Styela clava: one gene and its partner. The protein of the gene in region 2 purifies or fractionates together with the protein of the main gene of each other region. This does not show direct contact. Links are inferred from orthologs where the notes say so. Each region holds a gene or a part of one and is shown on either strand. Other genes may lie near its edges.

Region 1 (7,783 bases), on a different chromosome or scaffold from region 2:
ATCCAACTGAAACCATATTCGACATGGAGCGATAACCAGACATAGGCCGTGGTGGTTAATCCATCTTTCAGCTTTTCCCTCCCTTGGGATAAATATGAAAATATTATCATGAATTGCCAATGAAATGTGATGCAAAGTGAAGTTTTTTTTATTTTGTGAGTATTATTGAAATATTTATTGGTTATCTTGGTTAGCTCGAAGAAAAAAGGTGCCAGACGACATACTCTTATGACAAGTTATCAGTTTTTCTAGTTACAAGACTAGGTGGAAGTAGCTAATTGTTGTGGATGCATTGACCGAATGGTGGAAGAAAAAATTATGCGAACCATGGTCATTTTATGAGGTGTTTTCATACCTTCTCTTCGAAGGCCAGTGACTACGTAATTAGATACTGATTTTGATGGATTGGAGCCTTTCAGTCCATTGCTAACCTGCAACATAGGCATCGTACAACATAATTATCTACCATTTTTGATGAATTGAAATCTTTCCAGTCGATTCCATTGCTAATCCAATTACAACACGGGTAGCGAAGTCAGCTTCTGAGATTGAACCAGAAATTTTTGACCTGTGACACCAACATAGCTTAGGCCGACCACTCTCACTACTCAGAAATGCGATACATAAGAAAAATAATATGTCACTTTCAGCTATTTAATTTCACATTATAATTTTCTCTCCATTTCAGGGTTCCTAATTTTGTCAAAGAAAAACGTTTTGCAAACTGGCTTCGGGATGCTCATGACTGGGCCGTTTCTCGTAATAGATATTGGGGTACTCCAATACCATTGTGGGTCAGCGAGGATTTCGAAGAAATCGTTTGCATCGGGTCCATAGAGGAATTGGAACAATTATCTGGGGTCAAAGTCACTGATCTTCATAGAGAAAGGTATTTTAGAGTAATGATGTTTTTATTTTGTCGTATGTCAACGAGTCGTGAGTTGAACATAATTAATTAATATGGCAAGGCATTCTTAATGCTTCTATTGGACAGGGATTGCATATTTTATGCAACAGAAAAATCAGTATTCTCAGAAGAATCACCTCTTTTAATAGGTGGTTTCAGAAGCCATTGCAGGCGAATCTCCGATTTTGAATTTGAAACTTCGGTTCTGAAATGGCTATGCCCCCTGCATTTAGCATATTAACATTTATCTGTGTCATAATTTACTTATAATTTAGTTCAAGCTTTTGAAATCTTGCTTCTTTTGTTAATCATTATCTGATCTTCATCATTCGTTTATAATTATTTGACAAGTTCAACATTATGTATATACATGAAAATTCACAAATTTTTTGCTTTTTAGAGAGCCTTTATTTTTTTTAGCGGATAATCCTTTTGTTTCTGTTTTTAACTACTGTCAATCTTCTGTTTCTTATTGTCTGTCAATTTTCCAACTTCATGCTTTGCTATTTCTCTTTAGTGTTGATGGCATCACTATACCATCACGCCTTGGAAAAGGAGTTTTACGTCGTATATCCGAAGTATTTGATTGCTGGTTTGAAAGTGGATCTATGCCTTATGCTCAAATGCATTATCCATTTGAGGTATGCTATTATTTTTCCTCAATGCCTTAAAGTTCTGTTTCCTCAATGCCTTAAGATTCTGTCCTGGAACTTGATTCACTGGACTGGGCAAGGAAAAGCTTAATAATATATGCATGCATTTAATAAATACAACATATGAGGTGGGTATTTTCGAATACCTGATGATTTCTGAATTGAATCAAAAAATTTTACTCAATCTAATCGAATCTCGAATACTTGGAAAAGGGTAACTGTATGTATTAACTTTTTTATCGCCATATGTCCTTCATACACATAAATTACTGAAAACATAGAATCTATTACTTAGACAAATTGCTGAGTTGTCACCCACAATAAGAAACAGATTTTATCAATATCTCACTAGTAGAAAAAATGTCATACGACAAGATTGCATTTTAAGAATATGGTTGCAATAAAAAAATGGAAAGATTCTTGACCTTGAACGGAAGACTAGAAAAAAGATGGCGATCATTCGAAAGTTTGATCTGAACCATTTAAAAAAAATTATTGTTCAAATATTTGATTCAAAATGCTCAGTCATATTCACAAGTCAAGCAATTGCGTAAATTTCATTTCAATTGTTTCAAGTTTTTGGTTTCTTATGTCTCAATCTATGATGCATTCCAACTGCCAAGACTTTCTTGATTTGGAATTTAGCATGGATTATACCTTAATTTTTGTTTCCTTTTAGGCCTATTATTATTGCTTCACTATTAACCTGCATTGGAATCATTGTTAGTGGTCTGGTCACACAGCAATGAGAGTTATCCAAATTTCCCAAGCATAAAAAATATTCTATGGCAAACCAGTTGTGGTAATTATTCATAATTTTTATGTCTTTAGAACAAGAAAGAATTTGAAGACAGTTTTCCAGCTCATTTCATTGCTGAAGGAATTGATCAAACAAGAGGATGGTTTTATACCTTGCTGGTATTATCCACTGCTTTGTTTGGGAAACCTCCATTTCAAAATCTAATTGTCAATGGACTCGTTCTTGCCAGGTATGGCATCGATATTGTTAATACCATTTTTGATTTATTCATGTTGTTCATAATTCAATGTTGTTAATACTTAATCTCAGCGATGGTCAGAAAATGAGCAAAAGGAAGAAAAACTATCCTGATCCAATCAAAGTTGTACATGCATATGGTGCAGATGCTCTCCGATTATATTTGATCAATTCACCTGTGGTTCGTGCCGAGAATTTGAGATTTCAGGTACTGTATTGCTTGTTTTTTATTTGTTATAAATAGGGAATATTTTTTGCAATATAAATGTTTCTTTTTATTTTTAGGAAAATGGTGTACGAGATATTTTGAAAGATGTTTTTCTACCTTGGTACAATGCATACAGATTTTTTGTGCAGAACGTAATAAGGTAAGTTTTGGACCAATTCAAATTTCAATTTGTAGAAACAAAAATTTCAGTTTATTAAATTTTAATCACTCTTCTGGTTTAATTGGGAATGTGTTAGCATTTCCATCATGTCTTATATTAATGAGAAGCAGCCGTAGTCATTTTAAAGCGATCCTATTTTTATACCTTAATACAACCAAATACTCCAATGTCATATTCACTCCTATTTGTTCAAAATTATAATGCAAATTTCATCCATTGCTTATTTCAATAAAATGAAGTTGCACTTGTTTTAAGGCTTCAAAAGGAAGAAGGCATTGAATTCAAATACAAAGAAGATGATCTTGGAAGTTCAGACAACATAATGGACAAATGGATTCTGTCATCAATACAATCACTTGTACTGTATGTGAAAAAGGAAATGAAAGGTGTGATATCTCAATCGCAGTTGAAACTTTAGCCTATCATCGTATCCATGTAAATTGTGTGTGCAAGCTAAATCTGAATTGCCAATAGTTTGGCCAAAATTCCAAAATTTTCTTTATCAAAATGTTTCAATTTTTTTTATCGAACATATCTCTTCATGATCAAATAAACATGGACTTCTATTGCATATTTGTCAAAACATTTTGAAGTTGAATCCTTAGAGAAAATCATTTGCATAATATTTTAGGATTTTATCTTGAGCATTGCTACTGTATCAACATAAACGAACGAGATTTTAAAATATATTGCAATTGACAACCATGATGTATGCTGTGCAAATGACATTGCATGATAATGAAGCCATGTGGGTCTCATTGTGCAGTGCTACTTTATTTTCATAACACAGCGACTTGCGCTTCTCAATAATTGATTTTCATTAAGACTATCTTATTTGGTGAATTGGATATTTTACTTTGCAGCATACCACTTGTATACTGTCGTTCCTCGATTGGTCAAATTTGTGGATTTATTGACAAACTGGTACGTCAGATCAAACAGGAAAAGATTGAAGGTTTTTATATTTGCTTGTTTTAGTTAAATTTGTGGATGTCCATGATATTTATTGGGAATATGTGTGTTTAAATTTTAGTTAAACACGTTTATCTCTATTTTATGCACTGTAATTGAATAAGTTTTATAACGTTATTGGAAGATAACATTGTGCCTCAATAAAATAGCATTTTTTGCATTCTAATATTGTAGTTTTACTATTACAGAGAATTATTTTACTTTTAAAATAGGTTGTCGATTTTTAATAAAATCTGAGATTTTGTTGAAGGTTTAATCAACATATATCTATTTTAATACGCCATTACTACTCACACCGCTTATTCTGGTATACTACAGCATGTTTACCCTAATGGGTGCAGTGATAAATCACTATTTGTTTGTCTAGATTTTCAATCTTATATGCTTTTACGTCTGGAATTAAATTTCATTTTGATTTATTCGATTTATCAAAAGAAGGGTGACATTTAATATTAAGAAAATCCAATTTTTTGGATAGCAATGCCAATAAAAATCCTAATATTACTATTTACTCTGTATAAAACACTCCAAATTCTCAAAGTAACCTTTGATAATATTATCAGATAAGTAAACATTGTAGGAAATAACCAGAATGGATTACAAATAGAACCTTGTTTGAGCTCCAGGTGAATTTCATTGCCAAACTTCAAAAACAAGTAGTTTTCTGTGATAGAATATGTTTACCTATGACTAGGTCGCCTTTTATGGAAATTCTTTTATCAGTTTTGGATGATGCAACTTTGAATCAGCGAATGTAACTTATATTATTAACGTATATATTATTATAAATACATATTTTAAAGTGTGTTGACTATAAAATGGCTTTTAAAATGGAAATTTTTCTTGAGTTTATTTCTTAATCAATGTTACATGGGGCTTATGGCTACTTCCACCATCAATTCCATTTTTTCAAAAACAAAATATCTGGCTAACAAATCCCATACCTGACATGGACTGGTAACCGGACGAGAGGTAAACCTTTTTGTCGTTCTTCTCTCCCTGGTATAAATATGAAATCCTATCCTTATTACAATTCTTTTTCTATGCTTTTTTATTCTCTATTTAAATGATAAACAATCCTTTTTATATTGATTTGAAGTTGTCTAATTAACTTTTTATATTATTATAGAGCTTCTTCTAATCTTGTTTATATAATATCAGGTCAAAGAGCAAGTTATAGCTGACAATTCACTTGACTCTTTGAATGTTTCAGGGTGACGGTGGACCTGAAGATTGTCAAAAAGCATTGCAAACACTTTATAGTGTTCTGTACACAATGATTAGAGAAATGGTAAGTTTTTATGATTCCAAAACTCTATCTTTAATCAAAATGCAGATCAGCTGCCATTTTACTATAAATGATTTTTTTTATGTGTTTTATTGCAAGGCACGGCTTCGGGGGGGGGGCTTGGGTGGCCTATTTGGGTGGGTGGCCTTGGATTTTAGCGAGTGAATATGTACTAGTTGTTAATGACTTTACTTCCTTGTTTGGAGCAAAAGGCTTGTAAATAAGCCGCACAAAAAATGTCACATGATAACAAAAATACATCTATTATGCAGTCTGTAATCCTTTTTTTTTCAGAGTCCATTTACTCCGTTCCTTACTGAGCATATGTATCAAAATCTCAAGAAAGTTTTGAAATCTAAAGAAAATGCTGAAAGTATCCATTATTTGATGTTCCCAGATGCGAAGTAAGATATTCAAGAACTTAATTTACTCTTTTCATAAACCATTGGAGAAATTGTGATTCATCAATTGTGACCACTGTATATGGTTGCCTTATTTTCACTCTAGGAATTTCCATCATGATCCTTCTTCATACAATCTCATTTTAATACAACCAAATAGACAACAACATAGAAATTACTGATTTGTATTGTTAATTATAGCCAGCGATAACTGAAATTATATTCATTTTGTTTCTGACTATTCATAAATTTCCACGAAACGCAGGCAATCATAGATAATGCAAATACAGTAATCCAAATATTCTTTAGAATTACTGATATGCTTTATCTATGTTATAAGACCAGCGTTTATAGTTTTATATATTCATTGTAAATTATTTATATTTTATTTTCTCAATTTTAGTGAGAAACTGATTAATGTGGAAATTGAGAGAGCAGTTTCAAGGATGCAAACTGTTATTGAATTAGGAAGAATAATCAGAGATAGAAATACAATGCCAATCAAGGTATTAACTGATTTCGACTGCATACGATTCTTCGTTCTTTTGTCATTCTGAAGGAAAAACTATGAAGATTCAGTCCTTTTTCAGACGGCCATTTAAAATAATCATTCTCTGTTAACAAATCAAACTTGGTTTTAAATTTTGTCGTCGTCAACTGCAGGCAAACATTTCATTTCACATGTCACTGCAAGTTTGTGCAAATAGTCTTATTTTGTATTGTTATTTTTCTGTAAGCATGTTACTGATGCCAGCCTCAATGGTATACACAACCTGCAGCCTGCTGGCCGATTGTGGCCCACAAGAAAAAATTGTGTGGCCCGCGGATAAATTTTTGATTTGGTTTAATCTGGTGCATGCGAGGGATTCCAATCCCTTTGTGTTGCAAAGCCTATACTCTAGTCTACTCTAATTTATTATCTATGCATTATTCTCCACTACTATTATCTTACTCATTATTATCTAATTTACTGTCTGCGTCATAATGTCCTAACAGCTAGCTTGTGCGAAGTGAACAACGCATGTCATAGGATCAATAACCAAAATTTTTGTGCAAGCAACTACTAGAAAGCCTATATAAAGGTGCGACCCGTGCTTTCATCCAGTCAAGTCAAGTCAAGCTATGCTAATAGTTTATTGTTTGTTAGGCATGATTTAACTGCAGATCTCTTTCCAGTACAATTATTTTCATGTTAGCTTATATGAAATTTAATTTCTTACAGTACCCTTTGCCTGAGGTTGTCATCATCCACAAAAGCAAAGAATATCTGGATGATGTTGCTAGTTTGGAGCGATATGTTTCCGAGGAATTGAATGTACGCAAGATCACGACTTCTTCCGATAAAGACAAATATGAAGTTAGTCTTCGCGCACAACCTGATCACATGATTCTCGGGAAACGTTTGAAAGGTAATTTCCCATTTTTTTTGTTAATTTTGAAATCAAATTTTCATAAAGCCTGCTACTAAATGTTGCATTTTTACATTAATCCTCTTCTAATCACAAACTGAGAATACCAAACAATCTGGTTTCTAACAAAAATCTTAATCCAGTGGTTCGCAACCTTTTTTAAAACTCCTCCTGGAATTTTGGAACTTATTATTCCTTCTTCGTTATCTATTGCTTCTTTTGTTTAATCTTTAATAGATACTTTACTAAAGTTATTCACAAGTAGCACTCCTGTTTTTGCACAGCTTAAAGAGTTATTGCGTCATTGACAGTTAACAATGTGCATCACTTCAAAGTATTATATAGGCAATATAGCATAACCAAATGAATAATACATCTATTCGTAGCTCTATTCATTAGTTGCTTACCATATTTTTGTCAATGATCATTCTAATTCAGTTTAGGGCTCTCGACGTACTCAACTAGCAAAGTTGTTTAATATACACATTTTACAGGTGAATTCAAACAAGTATCGGCAGAAATAGCTAAATTATCAAGTCAGCAAGTTGAAGACTATTTGCAGAAAGGATCTATCGAGGTCAGTTTAACTATTTGTTTTCTCATTTTATCTTTCACAAGAAATGATAGCTAAATTCTAATTTTTTTCTTATATTTTTCAGATTGGTGGCCATCAACTTGGTGAGGGAGATCTCAGAATTATTTATCATTTCGAATCGGCCTCAGGAGACGCTCCATCGAAGTATGATTAATGATTATTTTCGATTCTC
Region 2 (8,097 bases):
AAAAATTATTTGGAAATATTACAGAGAAATAGGTGCTGTTTAGGCTGGCATAAAATCATAGTTTGAGGGATGTTTCAGAGTTCAAAAATAAAAAATTATACGTTTTTCTCACTTTCTCAAAACAGCTTTTTTAGGTGTCACCCTTTTGTGAGTTTGAAAGCCTTTAACATTGTCCAGAGTATTCACCCAGGATTATCCAACCAAAACTCAATATAAATATTTTTTAAAAACACCAGCCATTCATAATTTTGGTTCCCATTAGATACCAGATGTTGTGCTAATTTCCTACACTTAAAATAAACCAATAGCAACCAATTGGATTTAACGATCAATCTATATTACACAATGATTTGGATATTCTATATCCATGGTGATTGCATTGATAAAATAGTGTAATGTTCCAGTCATTACATGTTTATTACTATCAGGATATTCATTGAAATTTGTAAAAAATAAAGATATTTTAAAACTAAGATGCCCAACATTTAAATAAAAATGTCCCTGATCTTATTTATCATGTAAATAGCGTTAATATTCATATTTTTTTTTACAACGTTAATTCTAATTCTAAATAGGGATTTAGGAGATATGTCCAAATCCAAACTGATTATTTGTGAGTCATACAAATATTTGAAAAGAAAATGCAAATAAATTTAATCACCTGGTCATTCGTTGAACCATCATCATATTCTAACAACTCTTCCCTCATTTTTGCGGCATCTTTTGCTGAAGTTTTGTGCTTTTTCTGTAACAATATGTATATGATAAAATAAAGGTTGGAATATATTGGCTGCTGTAATCTGGGATTGCTTCTATAGAGCAGACCGTCTAAACATCAATTATCACACCTTTGCATCAAACATAATCTCAAGATAATAACACAAATATACTTTATTATATTTGTTTGAACTTAATTTCTTGGATTCTTTATTTCAGAAGAATTCATGTACATAATTTATCCATCGATATTGGATGAAATATTCTGTAACAAATTATCAGAATGAAACAGAAAAACTATACAGTACGCTCTTTTTAAACAAAACCGTCAAAATACAAACAGCATGCTAAAGAACACCTTGAAAAATTGGGGATTCGTTGGTAATTTTATTTTATATTGTTTTATTTGTCATTGATACTTTATTACTCAATATATTGAGTTGTGTGATGTTATTTCATCAAAAATCAAAAAAAGTATCATTTGAGAATTATTTAATGAAAGTACAACCAAAAATACAACAAGAGAATAAAATATTTATCGACTATGTCCACTTATGCTATCCATACACTATAATTACTAACCTATCTTCGAAACTGACAAAAAAGAAAATAATATGTATATCAGTGCATGACTGCCATGCTGGGCTCCAACAAACATCAATAATTCAGAAAATCAGTTTTAGGATTTTGACAAATAAAGCATCACACTTTCTCAAAATGCTTATTTTCAGCTAACAAGTCAGGAAGTAGATGGCATTATGAAAAATATTGTTAAATACTTAGGGTTGCCTTTATTGAGCTGCAATATAAATAAAAAATGAATCAGCGTGTGTGTGTGCGTGCGTGTGATGAATCTTGGAAGGGATTAGTACCCACACATTGGTCAGAAAAACTGGTTTAAAATATGCAAACCAATAGCACCCACCAATTGAGATTCCAAATTTGTATATTCTGTTTGATAACTTTTCACACGGCTCATTAGTTTTCCTCTTTCAGCACTGGGCATATCTCGAACTTCTAAATCCATTTGTTCCAACTGGCAAAAAATAATATTGACTTTGAGACAATTGACAAAAACAAAACACTTTCTTAAAAGTATTCCGAAGAATTCAATATTTCTTACATCGAATTAAAAAATCAAATAGACGTTGGCAGTCCGCGAGGGAATGAACTCATATGGTGATTATTAAAACCACAAAAGCAAAAATGACAATTGGGACAGATGATTTTGATACGATCCAGCATTACTTTTAAATGAGAATTGATAAAATTTGTCCGAGCAGAATGAGCCTTGATCGAAATGGGGTTAAAGATCACATTTGAAACTTAATTTTAAGCCCTGTATCTTTCCTGCTATTTCTCACATAGATTTGTTGAAAATTAATATGATATCAATCTTTTAAAAGAAATCAATTACATAAGTCATACTTCATTCCTACAGTCTGACAGTAGACCAAAGCTAATCAAGATGCAATCAAAATTCACTTAAATATATCAACATTATTTTTGTAGAAGAGAAACTGTACTTGTTACACTATGCCTCCACGTGCCTAAGTCTGCATCGTAGAAAATGCAAATATTCTTACCAATTCCTGGGCTTCATCAAGTTGTCTTTCTATTGAGCTTATCACAGTCTTTTTGTCAACTGAAATGAATAATGAGGGCAAAAATATAATTCAGGAAATGAATTATTCTACTTTATTCAGTCCTAAACTTTAACGATATTAGACTACAGTTGCATAGAAAATAATAGGCATCGCAAAAACGACTAACTTCGGATATCTTGCAACTTTGAAACACAAATGAAATTTTCAATCGTTTATATCATGGCTAAATTGTGTCGTATTGTGCTTCTGGCAGATTCTATGGTATCTCTGAATCTGTTATCTTATTCAATCGCACAGTCTTATTTACTTTTTGACTAAAAAGATCACATTTTAGCAAAAAAATGACACATCGTTTTCGTTCGACCAGAATCGTGACTTCTACCAAAGCTAAAAACCCAATACAGCATTATTTGATAGCGCTGGTAAATATTATATCACATACCCCCATATAATGAAGATACAGAGCCCAATCTTCTTGTTATTTCAGCAGTTAATGATGAAAACTGTTGCTCATACGATTCAAAAATCGCAGCCATGTTGGATGTCCGCTTGCTTCACAACAGCACAATGCAGCTGACGGAAACAGCAATGTACAGATGTAAGAAATGTATCACGGTATCTGTACCGGTTGTTACCTTGTTTCAGTATTCTGGTATTTGACTTTCAAGTTGCAATAAAATGAATATGGTAACATAAGCCTAATTTCAAACGCCTAAATACCAAACATGTTGTAACATTATTCATAATAAAAGTACAAGAGAGCTATGCTCAAATATATGGACACGTAGAGTCACATAATTTCGATGACGTCATAGCGAAAAAAGAAGTAATAGACTTCTGGAGAAAATTTTTATCTTTAACCACTAAAAATTTCAAAGCAATTGGTCCAGTATTCGAAGAGAAAAGCGACTTTTTAAAAACGTGTCAAGCGGTACTGAGTTAGCAGTCAGGCAGCATCTTACCTGTACACTGTAGGCCATATACGGTAATTGATCACAGAACAGTTGTTCCCTTGCAAATTTTATGTTGTTTACACTTTAGGACAGATAATTGATCACAGAACAATTCTTCCCTTTCAAATTTTATGTTGTTTCCAGTAGACTCTCATCAAAATAAACAAATATAGTAGGCTACAAGTGCTACAACGCTTGCATCACTGCACTGGTAGGACCGTGAAAGAATAAGTTACGGTACGGTAATTTCATTGTGGTAAGACACCGGTACCGGCACCAGTACCAGTACCGAACCTGTAGGTCTGATATTCCGTTCCGCATACGATAGGCTATAAAACTTGCATTGCAGCATTAGTAATACCGCGGAAGGCGGCGGTGTGGCTCAACGGGCTAAGCGTTAGGAATACGCTCGCCACCGCACCTCTAATCACTCTGCGTGGGTTCGCAGGTTCGAATCCCATGCAGGGATGGTTATGTGCGAGAGGATTGCTGGACTCCTCGCCGTCGTTGGGTGGTTCACGTAACCGCTGGTCGGTTACGGCTTCCTCCACCACCAAGTCCATGCTTCCGAAAAACAAACAATACAGTAAAAACTAATCCCATACCCGACTTGGAATCCAGTCTGGATTTCATGGCCTTTTTGAACGAGAAATCGGGCGTGCAATCAGAAATTCCCGCGTGCAAATAAGAATTCCTGGCGTGCAATTATAGCTCACGACGTGCAAAACAACTGCACTCGCGTGCAACTGACTTTGACATCAGATACCTCTCAATACATCCGCGTAAAACTACCGGTATCGGATAAAAAATACGTTGAATCAGAGAAAAAATGGACGTTTGACCTTTGACCCCAAACATTATTCCTACAGTTTGTCGCTAATTTTGAGAGTGTTTGTGCGACTTTGGATACCGGTACTGTTCAGTACATCCGCGTAAAATTATTAGATAAAAAATACGTTGAACCAGAGCAAAATGGATATACTTTGTCATTAATTTTGGTAGTGTTTTTACGTAGAATTAATGGATAAAAAATACGTCAAATTAGAGCAAAATGGACGTTTGACCTTTGACCCCAAACATTATTTTCATACTTTGTCACTAATTTTGGGAGTGTTTGAGCAACTTTAGATACCGGTACTGTTCAGTACATTCGTGTAAAATTATTGTATGAAAAATACGCTGAATCAGAGCCGTACTTGGCCATTGGTGCGGAAGTGATCTTTTCGTCCATAACTATTCGCACGGGATTCCTATTTCCTATCATTCAACACGATATGGACCTTTCCCCGTGCATCGACTTCCTTGTTTACTTCGTGACATTGGCCAATCAGCAAGATGCAAAAAAGGACGTAACAATGAGAGGAATTTTTCGCGGGTCAAAGGTTGGGAAAAGGTCCATGGTCTTTTTGCTTCGCAATATTTCGATCAGACCAAATCTTGCAGGCTGGTATTTGTCGACAATTGTGGAGTTATAATATTTTGGCATCTTTATATTACTGGATTATTGATTTTAAAACCATTTAAACCGATTTACATTGGTGAGCAATTGCAAATTTTCGGCGTGCAAAATTGATTTCGCTCGCGTGCATTTTTGCGGAGCGCTAGCGCCCTCGGGCGTGCACCTGCCATGGAATCCAGTCTGGCTTGGAATGGTAACCGGACGAGAGGCCGTGGTTCGCCATATGGATAAGCCGTCTTATCGGCTTTCCTCTCCCCCGGGATAAATATGTAAATCCTATCCTATCCTATCCTAAGGAATAAGTCAATTTCACTGCGTTACGGCACCGGTATGGCAACTTACCAGTACCGACCTACAGTAGCTGTAGTACTGAGCAAGACAATCGATCGCGAAACCGCTTGAAATAAGTGTAAAACAGTGTTCCCATGAGTAAAAATAAATACCGCGAAATTTTGTATGAAATATCATATCTCATAGGATTCATATAAAATTTAAGAATAAACAAAAGTAATAGCCTTCTAGCGAAAAAATTAATCTTCAACCACTGAAAATTTCAAAGCAATTGGTCCAGTATTCGAAGAGAAAAGCGACTTTTTAAAAACGTGTCAAAGAACAAGAACAAGAACAACAACAAGAACAAGAACAAGAACAACAACAACATAATATTGAAACGATCGTTATGTCCACTACGTGTCCAATAATACAAGTTTATTTCGCCTCCATTATCAGCATAACAATAAAATGATTAAAAATGATTAATAAAAACAAATTACACAGACCCGTTCAGATATGGTATCAGATAAAGAAAAGATATACGACATACGAGCTCAACACTGTTAACCCGTAATTACTTTACTCTATAGTACCACCATGTGACGACGTGAGATTAATTAAACCAGAAGCGAATCATTATATGGGAGGCCCAACGACTAACGGGGAGGCCAGATAAATTTTATTTTCGTCGTGCATTAAATATTAAATGTATAAATATTCTCATTAGAGAGAGCGGGGGAGTTTATTTTGTTTTGTTCATCAAAGTACAAATACACAACAAAAAAATATAAGTCAATTGATAGCAAAAACTTCTCGGTACTCAGACTGGTAAATAAAATGTCAGACCAATGATCAGACTAACTACACACTTGGTCAAGTGTGGTATGAACCGAATTTGATAGCTGCTGGCTCGCAGAACATCGTGGAATTTGAAGTTTTTGAAGAGTCTTGAATCCTTTCTAATCTGTTACTTCGAGTTCGATCCAAAACAATTGGTCGCTTTCTCCTTTGTTGTCTTGGAGGTTAGTTTCATCGCGATTAAAAAATTTGCTGGTGGTATTCGGTTAACTATGTCTTTCATTTCTGAATAATATGATTGAATATCTTAACGTACAACTTGTACTATATTAAATGCGTGTTCTACAGAAGTTATCGATCCACCAGGTTTGTTGTCCGGAAATGAAGAACTTATTTCTCTTCTATCCAAATAATTTTTTACAATATTCCTCGTGTTTTTAGAACCGATCGGAAAAACCCAACGAGCAATAATTTGAATACATGAAGCAAATCGGGCCCATTCTTTTTTGGTAAATTCCCTCGGATGACCAATCTTCTTAGGGTTAAGATTTTTCATCTAGTATGAAGTTGATTTATTGACCCAATGGAGTCATTTTGCGTACGACATCCATTTTCGAGTCTTCTGAATTACTGCTACTTTGTTCAGGAGTTGTTGAAAATCGTGATACGGTACATTTTTGGCGACATTATTAAAGTTGAAAACAATGCTAGAATAGAAATTGACATGAGCATGAATACGTCACATTTTAGTTGATATATGCCAGCTTAAATTTTTTGTCCGAAGTTAAAAACTTCGACGGTATTACGCTGTACTGTTTTATTTTTCCATAGTGGTATTTTGACAATGCTTTTTTTGCGTTGATTATCTATTACATCCCGGACAACAATACTTGTTTCCCATAAACTGGAAACAACTTCCACCGCATACAACCTGTGAAGATGGCCGTTTGCGGCCAGCCTCCACTAGGTGGCAGATAGCGGTTAACAAATCCTCAAAAAATTACACTTGGTTACATTATTAAATAAGGGATAGAATAATTTCGTAACTATTATGGTGATGCTGCAAAACTTCGAAACAACTTCCACCGCAAACAACCTCTGAAGACAACCGCTTGTTGTAAACCCCCACTAGGTGGCAGAGAGTGATTAACAAATCGTCGGGAATTATATTAATAAACAAAGGAAGCTTGACGTCTTGTTGTTATGCATTGTCTCTGGTTTAATAGACTTGATTATTTTTGTACCACTGTTTCAACACTCCTGTACGATACCGCACCTTACTTGGTTACAGTACGGTATGGATGGGAAGAAAGTGAAGGTATTTCTCAATCTCTGTGTTTGCGATAATGAAGAAGATGCCGACCTCAAAATCAGGGTTGAAAATGCACGGCAAGAATTTCTCCGTTGTTTACCAAGTATAATAAATCTAACTTTGGTAACTGAAAGTGTTGAAGAAATTGTACAAAGATGTATCCAACTATATTCATGTCTTTCACAGAAATTGGTAGCACAAAGAAAATATAAAGATGGTGCAAACTGTCTAGCCATAGAATTTGAAGCAACTTTACAAATATGCTCTGTAACTCTAACTTTGATGGATTATAATGTTTCACCCAGAGCTAGTCTTACATTATTGATAAAGCATTTTAAAGGTTCAGCATTGGATTGTCTAAAGTTTTTAAAAAAGCTCTCAATTAACGCAACATTCAAAATACTGAGTGAGTACTCACAAATTATTATCACTTCCATAATGCAGATGGTGATATGGAACACAGATTCTTCAATATGGTCCAAAATCGACGAATGTAAAACATTCTTGCCTTCATTTAAGGATCTTAAGAATGCTATGGAGGAACTTTCTCAACAAAATATAATGAAAAAGTTTAAAAATAACTCTAAAAAATGTGAAATTTCAGAAAGTGAATTGAAAAAGGATCTCGACATAAAGTCTTCCAGTGTTTCAGATACAAAGCACATACAGGAATCTAAACCTAAAAAATGGAAACCAATTCTTATGGCGGCATTTCTGGAGACATATAATTACGCATATGTGCTATTGAAAGATTTGTGTGATATGCTATGTATCACCGATTTTCTTCAAGATATGTGGAACACATTCAACCACGCTTTCACTAACCATTGTTATGAAATTCTGTACGGAAGAAAATTAGACCAATTATTGCTGTGCATTATCTATGCAGTTTGTAAAGCCTTGCCCACTGTCCAACCACTCGAATTCAAGATTATTTTTCAGTGCTACAAGATGTTACCAAACAGCGACCCAGACATT

Evidence for each region.
Region 1: the proteins of vesicle transport through interaction with t-SNAREs homolog 1A-like (region 2) and vesicle-associated membrane protein 4-like purify together in Homo sapiens (affinity purification with mass spectrometry; 4 studies listed by BioGRID and IntAct, counting the BioPlex papers as one, with this or other methods). This does not show direct contact. The link is inferred for Styela clava from reciprocal best matches to the Homo sapiens genes VTI1A and VAMP4.

What each region holds. Positions count from the first base shown.
Region 1 is NC_135258.1:11,720,104-11,727,886, reverse strand, and holds the start of vesicle-associated membrane protein 4-like, read right to left. Parts: upstream 3,103-7,783; 5' UTR 3,091-3,102; intron 2,926-3,090; coding exon of another isoform or gene 2,843-2,925; intron 2,766-2,842; coding exon of another isoform or gene 2,630-2,765; intron 2,550-2,629; coding exon of another isoform or gene 2,392-2,549; intron 1,549-2,391; coding exon of another isoform or gene 1,425-1,548; intron 890-1,424; coding exon of another isoform or gene 689-889; intron 1-688. Other genes in the region: isoleucine--tRNA ligase, cytoplasmic-like, read left to right, coding at 689-889, 1,425-1,548, 2,392-2,549, 2,630-2,765, 2,843-2,925, 3,202-3,332, 3,810-3,901, 5,132-5,209 and 5 more. UniProt on the Homo sapiens protein: Involved in the pathway that functions to remove an inhibitor (probably synaptotagmin-4) of calcium-triggered exocytosis during the maturation of secretory granules.
Region 2 is NC_135260.1:9,561,157-9,569,253, forward strand, and holds the start of vesicle transport through interaction with t-SNAREs homolog 1A-like, read right to left. Parts: upstream 3,066-8,097; 5' UTR 2,861-3,065; coding exon 2,767-2,860; intron 2,363-2,766; coding exon 2,304-2,362; intron 1,754-2,303; coding exon 1,643-1,753; intron 746-1,642; coding exon 662-745; intron 1-661. UniProt on the Homo sapiens protein: V-SNARE that mediates vesicle transport pathways through interactions with t-SNAREs on the target membrane. These interactions are proposed to mediate aspects of the specificity of vesicle trafficking and to promote fusion of the lipid bilayers.